3 linked regions of the Schizosaccharomyces pombe genome follow. The gene in region 2 interacts genetically with the main gene of each other region. Each region holds a gene or a part of one and is shown on either strand. Other genes may lie near its edges.

The links.
Region 1: mutations in fis1 (region 2) and cwf28 together harm fitness more than expected from each alone (negative genetic interaction), as found in Schizosaccharomyces pombe (one large-scale study listed by BioGRID).
Region 3: mutations in fis1 (region 2) and dsc5 together harm fitness more than expected from each alone (negative genetic interaction), as found in Schizosaccharomyces pombe (one large-scale study listed by BioGRID).

Annotation. Positions count from the first base shown.
Region 1 is NC_003423.3:3,991,112-3,994,787, forward strand, and holds cwf28 (splicing factor Cwf28), read right to left. Parts: upstream 1,875-3,676; 5' UTR 1,727-1,874; coding exon 581-1,726; 3' UTR 501-580; downstream 1-500. Other genes in the region: fes1 (Hsp70 nucleotide exchange factor), read left to right, coding at 1-419; signal recognition particle receptor alpha subunit Srp101, read left to right, coding at 2,346-2,546, 2,725-3,676. UniProt on the Schizosaccharomyces pombe protein: Involved in spliceosome maturation and the first step of pre-mRNA splicing.
Region 2 is NC_003423.3:1,755,888-1,759,773, reverse strand, and holds fis1 (protein Fis1), read right to left. Parts: upstream 2,315-3,886; 5' UTR 1,968-2,314; coding exon 1,586-1,967; exon of another isoform or gene 1,473-1,585; coding exon 1,372-1,472; 3' UTR 817-1,371; downstream 1-816. Other genes in the region: actin cortical patch component End3, read left to right, coding at 1-816; pfd1 (prefoldin subunit 1), read left to right, coding at 2,678-2,686, 2,784-2,950, 3,102-3,264. UniProt on the Schizosaccharomyces pombe protein: Has a role in mitochondrial fission. Has a role in outer membrane fission but not matrix separation.
Region 3 is NC_003421.2:1,814,123-1,818,903, reverse strand, and holds dsc5 (UBA/UAS domain-containing protein), read right to left. Parts: upstream 2,820-4,781; 5' UTR 2,803-2,819; coding exon 2,695-2,802; exon of another isoform or gene 2,508-2,694; coding exon 1,332-2,507; 3' UTR 501-1,331; downstream 1-500. Other genes in the region: U6 snRNP-associated protein Lsm7, read right to left, coding at 85-376, 431-480; SPRY domain membrane protein, specificity factor required for ubiquitination Ear1, read left to right, coding at 3,421-4,569. UniProt on the Schizosaccharomyces pombe protein: Involved in protein degradation through the ubiquitin/proteasome pathway.

The DNA.
Region 1 (3,676 bases), 2.2 Mb from region 2:
TTTATGCAATAACTAGTGAGCTTAAACTTAACGAAGCTGGAATTGCTTTATTAGATAAAATCCCAAACTCTTGGGAAATGCTGATTGAAATCTTGGAGCTTAAACACTCGGTTATGACAAAACGAGTTATCTTTTTTTTCTATGCATTACTTATTCAAGAAGATAAATCAAAACAAATTATTCTTCAAAAGGCACACGAATTTCAGATTCCAGAAAAAGTTTATCAATTCAGTCTTGAACATTCTGTCGATGAGGATTGTGTTACCAAATCTCTTCATACACTTTATTTATTCCAGAAAAATAAAGTGTCTGTCGCAAATACTAACGAGTTATTAAAGTCGCTCGTACAATTTAAGTCAGAGTTTCCTGAAATTTTCACCGTCGATGAATGGAAAGCATTTCACGAAGCTCTTGAATAAAGGTTGAAAGCTTCGATTACTATTTTTATTATTCATGTGGACTACGGAGCAATATAATGAGATGTTTTATTTCGTTTATGACTGATAAACAATTTTTTGGTTATTTGGAAAGGATACTCTAGTAACTGTGGTACTTAAAAAGTAAGATAATCGTAAATTCATTAAAGTGTACGAGTACTTCTGTAACTTCTATCTGGATTTTCTCTCTCAGTATATCTATCGCTTCTATGAGAACGTTTTTTATATGAATAACTCCTTCCTTGATAGTAATCATCTGAATAACGGTCTGTTCGATGTTGTTTCCGGCGCTCCGAATGGTATTCGCGATACTTAGTTCTGTCTGGATCTCTATCGCGTTTGTTGTAATTTCGTGAATTATAATCTAAATGTTTACTGCTCACTGAAGACTCTCTTGAGAGGTTGTTATCTCGGCTTCTTTTTCTGAATAGTTCTGAACTGGGAGTTAAGTTGTCAATGGAATTTGACTTCTTCTGTACTTCAGTATGTTCGTTTTGTGAATTCAGAGCGGAATTTGATTCTAGAGGCTTAACAGGAAGAAACATAGTCTTTTTTGGATTTTTCCAAATATCCAGCTCAGTAAGTTCGGAATCCACAGGCTTGGCTCCCATACCCAAAAACGTCGGCCTTTGATTAACATCAAAAGCATCTTTAGAAGATAATTGACCATTCCAACCCATTCCTCGAAGCATGGCGGCGCCAAATTCTTCAACCGGAATTTCCGAGTAATCTTTCATATTAGAAGGCTCCGGAAGCTCGTCAATGTCTTTTCTATATGCATCTTTCTCGTTAACAACATTAGTGGTAATCGGCTGTAAGTTGGCAGAATTAGCACTTTTAACATCGTCATTTAAATCATTAAGGACAAGTTGGACTTCTTCAGGAAGAATATCAGTACTTTCTTTATTTGTGGCTATCTTATTTTGAGCCTTTTCATTTGAATTATTTGCCTTCCAGTCCACAATTTCATTATCCGCTGCTGATGAAGAAGCCACCCGAATATTTAGACCATAATTTAAGCCGCTATCTGGCAATTGTGAAGGTTTCTCATGAACTTCTGTTTCTTTTTTTTTAAACCTGGCTTTTCTTTTTTCCATCCAGTTCTCATCACTTGCAATGTGGATTATCTTTGGCGCTCTTTTCTTTTCGTGTATGCGCTGAATAGTTTCATTCTGATAATGAACTCCCTCTTCAGCGCTAAATCCAGTAATAAGTTGAGGACCTTTTAATTTTTTTTCATCTTCATCCTCAGAATCGCTGAATGCTTCTAATACGGCTTTTCGCTTCATCAGAGTTATTATGATAACTCACTTGTTTGCGACTAAGCGTATTACAATGAACAAAAAAAATAAAATGGCAAAAATCGGCCAGATTATAAGTAGGAAGGAAAGTTTAAAATTACAGTGAAAATAGTCTTGAGAATAATCACATTCGTACAATGAGAGTTGTGAAGCTTTTCAGGAATTTTTCGTTGCCCAGACATGGAATAGTGTGTGCTCCCTTTACCTCTTTATTTGGATTACAGAATTCATGCTCATTTCTCCCTTACTTAAAACGCACCTTCAAATAGCAGTAAAAAAATAGCTTTTTTATTTAGTGGCATTTTTTATTAATATAAAAGTATAAACAATTTTGGTTGAAACGAAAGCCTACTGTTAATATCAACCTTTAGTCTCAAATTGCATCTATCCTTGTATAATATTGCATACAACAAGTTTTAAGGTAATCTTTAAAATACGTTAAGAAAAATATGTTTAAGCAAATAGCTTAACTCAATTAGCACCATAGATTTGGTATAGTGCGTTATTATGTATTGTACGGCAGTGAGCAATGTGTTTAATCAAGAACACTCCTTCTTAGTTGGTGAGTAGTTTACTACTTTTAAAGCCATTTGTGATTGAGCCTGGAATGATTGACTTGTTTGCGATAGTTAATAAAGGAGGCATAGTACTTTGGAAAAAAACAAATTCTCTTGTTAATTTGAAATGCCTTCAAGTTTTATTTCACGAAGCTTTCTTAAGTGAGCAAAGAACGGTGAACAACACCGTAACATTTGATCGGTACACCATGCAGTATCAAGAGGCTACACAATATAGCATAGTTTTTGTGGTAAGTTTAATATATTGTGATTTGTGCTTTGACAGAAATTGTCAATTACTATACACCCAAAATGAGGTCCAAAAATTTTTTTGTTTATACTTTATCTTTGATTTTCTATTATTTGTCAAAGTCAAAGCCATACCTTTATCGTGTCATTTGAACTTAATTAACGCGGTTGAATTTTTAGGTTGTGTTTCAAGATTTGAAATGTATGGCATATTCTCAATCACTGCTTAATAGTGCTCATAATATATTTCTGAATCTATTTAAAGAAAAATTAGAAGATCGTCAAGTTCCTAATGAAGCAGAAGTTGAAAAACTGTTCGCTCCCATTTTTAATCGTAAATCAGCACAACTGGAGAATGAAACAGACACGAAATCTTTACCTGTTGAGGCTAATAATGATAACTCAGCAAGAAAGAAAAATGAATATGAAATGAAGAAAAAAGGCGCTCAATCCAAGCAAACAAATGCCCCTAAAAAAGGAAAGAAGCAACTCAGAAAATGGGATGATCAAATAACTGAGGAAGAACAGGCTGCATTGAACTATTCTAGTCAAGCATCTTCTGCTTCCCAAACAGTCGATAATTCCCAACTTTCTTCTATTGTGGGTAATAATAATAAGTTTCAAAAGACTGGTAGTGGTGATGTTATTATAAGTGATTTGGAAATGGATCCCAATCAAACAATTTCCAATAAATCTGCATCTTCTGCGTTTTCCCTTTTCTCCAACTTAATAGGTGGGAAATACTTGAAGGAGGAGGATCTTAGTCCAATTTTAAAGCAAATGCAAGAACATTTAACAAAAAAGAATGTCGCAAATTCTATAGCTCTGGAGCTTTGTGAATCTGTGAAGGCTTCGTTGATAAACAAAAAAGTTGGTTCGTTTGATACTGTGAAAAACACAGTAAACAAGGCCTTTCGGGATAGGCTTACTCAAATACTCACCCCAAGTACATCTTTGGACCTTTTGCATAGTATTCGTTCTGTACGCAAAAACGAAAACCGTCCGTATACCATTTCTCTCATTGGCGTCAATGGTGTTGGAAAATCTACAACATTGGCTAAAATAGCGTATTGGCTTTTATCTAACAACTTTCGAATCTTAGTTGCTGCCTGCGATACTTTTCGCTCGGGTG
Region 2 (3,886 bases):
GGAAATGATGATATTGCTCTCTTACACAAAGTACCTTCGCTTGATACCGACCCGGAAGATGCCGTTTTAAAAGATGGATTTGATTGGTACATTTCTCCATCCGATAAAATTCGATATTCCGATATTTACTCCCTACATTGCAATAAACACGGAGAAGTATCTTTTAATGGCCTGGCACCTGTATTTACTCCTTTTGGGGTTCCCAACTCTCAAATTCAGAAGGCTTGGAAACTTGTCAATCCTCAGGGTACTGAAACCATACAGAAAGATCAGTGTTTAGTATTTTTGCACATCCTTACTCAGAGATCCAACGGATTCCGTATTCCTAATGATGTCCCGTACAGTTTAAAGGCTAGTTTTAAGAGAGGAAATATCGATTATAATTTAGATTCCTACAACTCTACTAATAACTATTACTCTTCACCTACAATGGCTCCATCTACGGGTGGTGCGAAGCCGAAGAGTGATCTTGATGCCCCGAGGGATGTGAGAGACTCTGACTGGGAGCTGATTTCATTAAGAAATGAGCTGTCCAAATTGGACGAAAAGATTCTTTCCCTTCAACGTGAAACTGACGATGTTAACATTGCACAAAATAAGTCAAAGCTTATTCAACGTGATTTACAGAAAGTACTTGACTATAAGTTGGGTATCCTTCAATCTCTAAAAAATGATGGACCAAATGGCCCCAGCGCTTCCGCCATTGATAATGACTTAAAAATGCTGGAACAACAACTTAATGTTTTGGGACGTCACTTGGAAGGTCGGAAGTCTCAAGTGGCTAAGCTAGAGGAAAGGCTTCGTAGTCTGTCTTAACAAAATCTCGTTTATAAAGCTCATCATCTCAAATACTTGAGTCTTTGGATGTTTTCTTGGAAAATCGACGAAGGTACACTCTTTCTTTCTTTCTTTATTGGGCTTAATAAACTGTTCAAACAGGAAGAGGGAATTGGATTGTAAAATCATTCATTAATGTCCATCATTATATTTTTTGGTTTAATCGATACAAAACTTTTGAATTAGTATAAAAGGAGGAACTTATTCAGCTTTTATAATAAATACTCACTCTCTTTTTATAACAATCTAAAACCTCCTTGAGGTAAATTTATTACCCTGCTGTTAAGAAGAAACACAAGCGAATTCAGAACTATCAACTGGGTAAGAAGAAAAGATAATATAATAAAAACAACAAGCTTCGATTTATAATCTTCTTTTTCTAAAAAAAGTGCACACTATAATGTCTCCCAAAGCCTTCGTAACTCATACGCGTTTCATGAAAAGGATACATCCACAATCCTATTGTTCGTAAGGAGAAAAAATTGAAGAATTTATGCAAAAGAAAGCTCCCTTGTGATTAATATCGTTTACGGTTTAAGGACGACGCTTTGAAAACAACCGTTTTGATGCCCAACCTACAAGAGCTGCAACTGACACCACTGCACCAGCTACCACAACCATTCCAATGTATCCTTCTAAAAACGGGTTAGTAATGATTCTTTTCATTATTTATAACGCATCTTTCTAACATAAACACAACATTCATGCATATGTGATACCTCATTAAGTTTTATTAAAATAAACATACCTTTTGTAACAGCATCGTAAAGACGGTTTTTTAGCTTTAAAGCCTCTGGGCTATTTGGATCTTTGGATAACAACATATTGAGATAACGACGGGATTCTTCATACTGCTTCAATTTGTAATGGGACAAAGCAATGTAGTAGAGGCATTCCAAACGCCTTTCCGGTGAATCTTTGTAAATGCTGCAGAACAAAGATAATCCCTGTTGTACATGCTGTGTAGAATCTGAGCGTACCAATGCCCAAGCAAGGTTAAATTTGGTTTGTAAAGTAATCAGAGGTTGTTCTGCATCGTATTGTTCCTTGATTTGTAGAAACTCATCAACAGAAATAATTGAATCAATAGCAGAAGGATCAGCGAGGCGAAGGGTGTGTTTTTCAGTCATGATGTCGTTATTGCTTCCTATATTGGTCTTTGAATGTGCCTTAATTATTTTAAAGGCGGATTAATATAAATAAACGGAAAATGTTGAAAAAACTACAGTCACTTGAAAAAAAATTCAACAACTCAAATATAAAAGAAGAAAAAAAGGGTTGAGTATGATGCAAAAATGCTAAATTATCAATGTAAACAGCCAATTCCAATTATAAAGGATTTGAGGCGCAAATGAGTGAACTACAAGGATAATGGATTTCCAAAGCAATAGAAAAGTCCAGAAATCCGATTTAGTAAGAATATGGATATGCTTTTTCCACAAAAATTTGAAACAGAGAAGGAATGAAATGAAGATTCGTTTGTGAACGCCATCGCCAACAATTTATGTAAGGAAGAACTTAAGGATATGGCAAAACATTTCACAAAATATTTATTACAAATTGTGGCGTATTATGTAATTCACATTTGCGAAACGTACCGATAATAAAAGCAGTGTAAAGTAGCTTGTAACATGCCAGCTTTGTACTTAAGGCCTAACCAACATTTTGCCTAAGACTTGATATACTTGTAAAGGTGGTATATTCAAATATATTGAAAAAGTTCTTGATTTGTCTATAAAAAAAGTATTAAAAGGACTATTCTTTGTACCATAATTTTGGAAAGAGCAATTCAATCCAAAAAAAATAAGTTCTTGAGATATACCCAAGTTTCCTTTAAATAATGCAAAATGTACGTATTTCATCATTGAGAAGAGAATTATTTTGTTAGGAATTTCCCTCTTTTTAACTGTGTTACATGGTAAACTAATGAGCTTTGGGCATATTAGTTAGCTAGTCAAATACAAGAGAAAGCGGTTGATTCACAGCAACAACTGAGGACCATAATGGTACAGATTGCTGCCAAGGAACGGGCACTAAAAATAAGTGAATTAGCCAAAAAAGAGTTAGAGGATGTTGGAGAAGATAAGGCCGTATATACTTCTCTTGGAAAGATGTAAGTGTCATAAAATGAAACATGTATTTTTATTTTCTTTTCTATAAAAATAGGGAAAGAATACGGAATTAGCAAAAACAGCACTTTTGGAATGGAATTGACCGTACTGTCAATCTATATGTAAAGTCATTTACTAACTGTTTATTTACAGGTTTATGAAATCCGATTTGGCTTCCGTACGTACACATTTGGACGCAGAAATGGCAAGTTTAAGAGAAGATATTGAAGCACTACAAAAGAAACAAACATATCACGAAACAACGGCCTCAAATGCTGAGCAGCATTTACAAAAGATAAAAGAGTCGATTTCTTAAAACATCAATTATAATCATCTCATTGGTAAATTGGATTATGGGATTGGAAAGTTTATGACTTTCTTTTTTATCTTTAAAACTGTAGAATTAAAGTAAATTTGTTCCATTAATCTTCTTGCATTTCTAACAAATACTGGGGCATTTGTGAGCCGAAATTTTGATCACTGTGACTGCGCTTTTGTGTATGGATACTTAAATTTCAAGCTTGAAGACTTGTGAATTTAGTATATGTTATACTTTTAAGGTAAGTTTTCTACTGTTAGAATTGACGTTTGGAAAAGTAAATGGAGAAAGGATTTCTTTGATGATTCCAAAAAAGCATAGTTCAACTGAGCATCGTATGCTGAAACTTTTTCCATCTGATTTGCACGTCAGTCTGAGATTTCTCGTTCCCTTTTGTTTCTTTCTTTTTCAACGTCTGTTTGTCTGACTTTTGTGTTGGCTGTTTTACTGACCCATACTTTAAGGTGTTCTATATTTTTTCAAGGATATCATTAACTGTGTGGAAGCTGTTTTGTTCTCCATTAACTTCTGATTTCTTTTTGAGAGATGCACAAGGAATAGTTTATAGCTTACTTATAGTTTATGAATAAAATTATCCGAAACGAACTGTCACTAATCA
Region 3 (4,781 bases), on a different chromosome or scaffold from region 2:
CAAAACATGCACATGCGGTATAATAATTAACTTGTAGTATTTTATTAACAATAGTCAAACATCAAATGAAGGGCTTGTGGCTTTTTATTCAGCTTGGACGAATGGATTCGGTATCTCCTCAGAACCATCCATGGGAGCAATCAAAACTAAAGTTGTTCCACGAACGACTACAAGACCTAACTTTCTAATAGCTCCAGTAAGTTTACCATCCTCAGGATTGCGAAGCTGTTCCTCTACATCGTCAAGTACAAGGTTCATCAACTGATCGAATCCTTTTAGAATACCGGTAATTTGTCGGCCCCCCGTAAACGTGGCTTGAATTCGTTGATCTTGATATCTAGAAAGATCAAGGATAGATTCTTTTCTTGGTCTTTCACTATTTAAGAAAGTTAGCAAAACTCATGATGCTGCTCGTTCCTGCTAGACTTACGTCGGTTGACTAGAGTTACCTGGGCCAGGGCGTTTTTGAAGACTGGACATTCTTTGTATCTAGAATAACCAGGTAAATTATCAGCTATTGCCCAGAAAAGAATAAAGTACAGGTTCAACTTGACGATTCTCCTTTTTACGATGATTGTAACGTGATCGAACGTATCCTTATATGGTTCAATTTGAATGACTTAAGACATAGCAGTAAATGGAATATAAAACACGCTACAGAAAGGAATGTAAAATAAACTTGCTCAGTCTGAAAGGAAATAATTTCACCGCTTTACTTTTCCAATTTTGTTAGAAACGTTGAGAAATTCCATGCTTGGGGTCATAATGCTTGACATAAAGTGAATCTAATGCACTAATTTGTATATTAATTATATAAAAATTTAACATTAATGAAAGTTTAAAGGTAAAATTTAAGCTGTTTAGAAACAAAGCCACTAGACTTTTTCGAATTGCAATAAAGAAAGATTTATATTTTAAACAAATTTATGTTCATAATACATACCTCACTCATCACAGACGAAAGCTGGCAAAACTTTTATGCTACAAAGCCTAAATTACTAGCCTTTGTCCTCCATTGCAAAGAAAATCGTAGAAAACAGAGATGAAGATGACATGCATAGAAAAGGTTTTTGGCAAAGAACAGAAAATCTAGTGGAAATCGACTATGTACTCAGATTAAAGGGTGCATTGAAAGTTTGCTCAAAATAAAAAGTCAATGCGTCCAGTAGACATTCATGCCATAAACAACAATTAATTCAGTAGTAGAAATAGAAAAGAGAAAATAAATTCATCATACATCAAATCTTAGAAATGTATTTAAAAACGGATTCGAAACGTCGATAGTCGTAAATTGTCATTATGATTTAAAAAGACAAACAATTTTGTTAATTTCAATCATCCAGCTCCACCACCACAGTGCCATTTGGAAAGATGGCTTTGTTAGTAGAAATAGCCACTGATGGTTTCAGCAAAGCTCTGGGCAAAGAAGAATATAGTTGAAAATGAAAATCATGCTTATAGTCACTTGGTGGAGTGACCGGATTAGAAGATGAAGTAGCGCGACCGAATTCTTCAGGCTCCTCTTTTTCAAAAAGCATATAATCCACATAGTTGTAAACGGATTCAACAGTATCATCCTTCTTAAACCTTCGAACAGCCCGAGATCCGTCGGGAAAACGGATCGAAAGACGAGCAGGTTCATCTTCAGATGATGGCTCCGGTGGAAGATTAGAAGCAAGCCAAGCACGATATTGTTTTTTCTTTTTCTGAACGATTTCTCTTTCTTCTTTCTCCTTTGCAAGACGCTCTTCTTCTGCTCTCGCGAAAGCTTGACGCTCGCGATCGCGGGCAAGGGACGCTTGATAGGCATTGTCTTGTTGACGTCGTAACTCGCGAGCAGCTTCTCGTGCTTCTCTCTCCGAACGGAAACGCTCAAGAGAAGGAAGATGTTTAGCCAAAGCATTAGTTAGATTGGTAATGATGCTGGAACTATCAAGACATCCATGGAGTTGGGCGGCAACTACAAGCTCAGATAGCTGAGGTGAATACATAACAAGGACTGCGGAGGGAAATTTAGTGCAGTGGAATTGACGAGAACCTCGGAAAGCCTCATCCTCACAAACATCACCAGTCCAGCAAAGAATGTTTCGACGATTTAAAAATTCCTTTAGCTCTTGGTTCATAAGAACACTCCTGGAAAACGTCTCAGAGTCATCATTCTTTGAGCTAGTAAAGAAAAGCAATGCGACTCCATAATTACGCTTAATACGTGTCAACGCTTCCATGTAGCCGCCATCAGTAAAAAAATCAATATGCTCAGTACCGTATTGCTCTTCTAAATTCTGAACCAGCTTGTTCGCAGTGTCTGCAGGAGAAAGGACACGCTTAGTAGTACCAAAAATGGGGATAAATGTTGAAATCAGAGGAACCCTTGACAAAATCATCCATAGTTTGTGCAACCCACTGAATAGCAAAGAAAAAACAGATTGAAAGACGCCGAAACTTAATCCAAGCTTTGAATTTCTATCGACTCTTGACGATTCTCCAGTTAAACTCTCGATCGCTTCCTAATCATAAAACAGTTAGCAAAATGGCTCAGTCCCAACATTCACCGAAAATTCGATTAGAAAAATAAACGACAACCAGAGGATTCCATGAATGTTCAGTTGCAAATAACAACTTTCTTGGAATTTTTCAATCAAAGCAATTGATCACTATCGAATACTGAAAATGAATGCTTGCCGTGTCACATACCTGAACGTCCCAATTAAATGATTCCAAAACAGATTGAGCAGTATCAGCAGGAACATCAAGAGAGTTCCTTAATTCGTCTATTGCTTCTTGTTTTCGAGACCCTGACATGGTAGGTGTTGTTGGTTAATGGACGGAGTAGTATCCATGTGGCCTTTACGTGGTGCTTCGTAACCTTCCTTTTCCCATTACCATCTGAAATCCGGAAGCAAACATTGAACGAATCAAAGTAAATTTTCGAATAAAAATTTGGTTAATTCCAATCTATGGTTGTAAAAACAGAAAACTTATAAGCATAATTGTGACGGAGCAGTATTATCTGGTAAATTGCCGCTGATTTTCGATTTTACCTTACAACAGGCCATTGTGGCTCCTTCAGGAATAAATTCTTTTTTATCTTAAGAATTATATCTTATTTATTTAAAGGAGTTTGTATTTTCTCCTGTAAACTTGAAACAAGTATACCATTTCGCCCAATCCTTGAGCATTCGCAAAAACCATATTAGTGCAATATTTGAGATACTTGCATCTACGTTAGATTTAAATATTGTATCTCGTGCTTAATAAACTGCATATCTGAGAGAAAAATCCTTTTTCTCTTAACCCTATACTATATCCTCTTATAGCTAGGATTTTACTCTCAGTTATTTATTTCTCTATTAAATATACACTCGCAGATTTTCCTTTTTCAAATCTTATATAAAAAATTATTTTTTGCGTCTTTGAGTCATGCATCCCGATCAGATTCGCCAGTTGAGATTACAGGAATCTTCAAACACCCATCCTAATTTAGCAATCCTTTTCATATTTATTGCATTAGCCGCTGTCATTGTTCTTTTAATCTGTCTTTTGTCAGTCATCTTATTACTGCGATACACACGACATGGACGGATCTTGCTGAAAAACACCAATCCTGGTGAGTTGGACGACGAAGCGTTAGAGAATGAACATATTGATGAAGAAGGATTTAGTTTATTGGATGATATGGGGAAAGAACGGTATTTACAAGCTCGTGAGTTTGAGTTGAATTCCATGAAATCTAACGTCAACACGGATGCAAAGCTGCTTGACTTCCTACAAGTTCAAGAGAAGGGCGTATTAGCATGGCACTTTATCCCAAATCAGGAATATAATTGCTATGTTAAAAATAAAACTGAATTGTCTTTTTTGGGCAACGAAGAATGTTGCATGCAAACCAATTTGCCTTTGCAGAGGATCAATGAAGTATACTATTTTGAAGTAAAACTTTTAGACGTACCTATTGATACCTTGGTTTCCATCGGTCTGGCTACCAAGCCATATCCGCCGTTTCGATTGCCTGGTTGGAATTTTTGGTCTACTGCTTATGTGTCGGATGGAACACGCCGCAGTAATTCACCATTTACGGGAAAACCGTACTCCTCTTTCTACCAGCAGGGAGATGTAATTGGTGTTGGTTACAAACCGAAGTGCAATCGGATCTTCTTTACACGTAACGGTCGTCGGTGTGCAGAACTGCCGTGTACATATCGAAATTTGTATCCTACGGTTGGTGCAATTGGACCTTGTACCTTACATGTCAATCTTGGACAAGCAGGATATGTATTTATTGAAGCAAACATCAAGAAATGGAGACTCGCTCCTGCGGTTGGAAGCTTGGCTCCTCCTCCGTCGTATTCTACATCGCAGCCAACTATTAGTTGGGATGCAGCTAGTGAGTCTTCAGCGGGTACAACAACGCAGGGCGATACAAATAGACCCGACAAATCGAAAAATAGGTCACCTCCAATAAATTTTGATGGTACCTCGTATGATGCGGCTGGTAATGTTTTCAGTCCATCATCATCCAACAATCAAGCTTATCAAATGCACTCCATGCCTGCTACCGATGAAGTATAAGGAGTAATGTATAGCTTAGCACTAACAACCTTCACGCCAAAACCAAAGATCAAGTTGTGGAAATGTTTGTGCGTTGTGTTTCAAGTTAGTCCTAAAATCGAGAAATGCACTTTGTATATGAATTGAAGGGGATGTGTTGATGTTCAATGTATTTATTTTCTTTATAATAATTTCTTCAAAATTAGTTATAATTATTAATCTTAATTAAATTT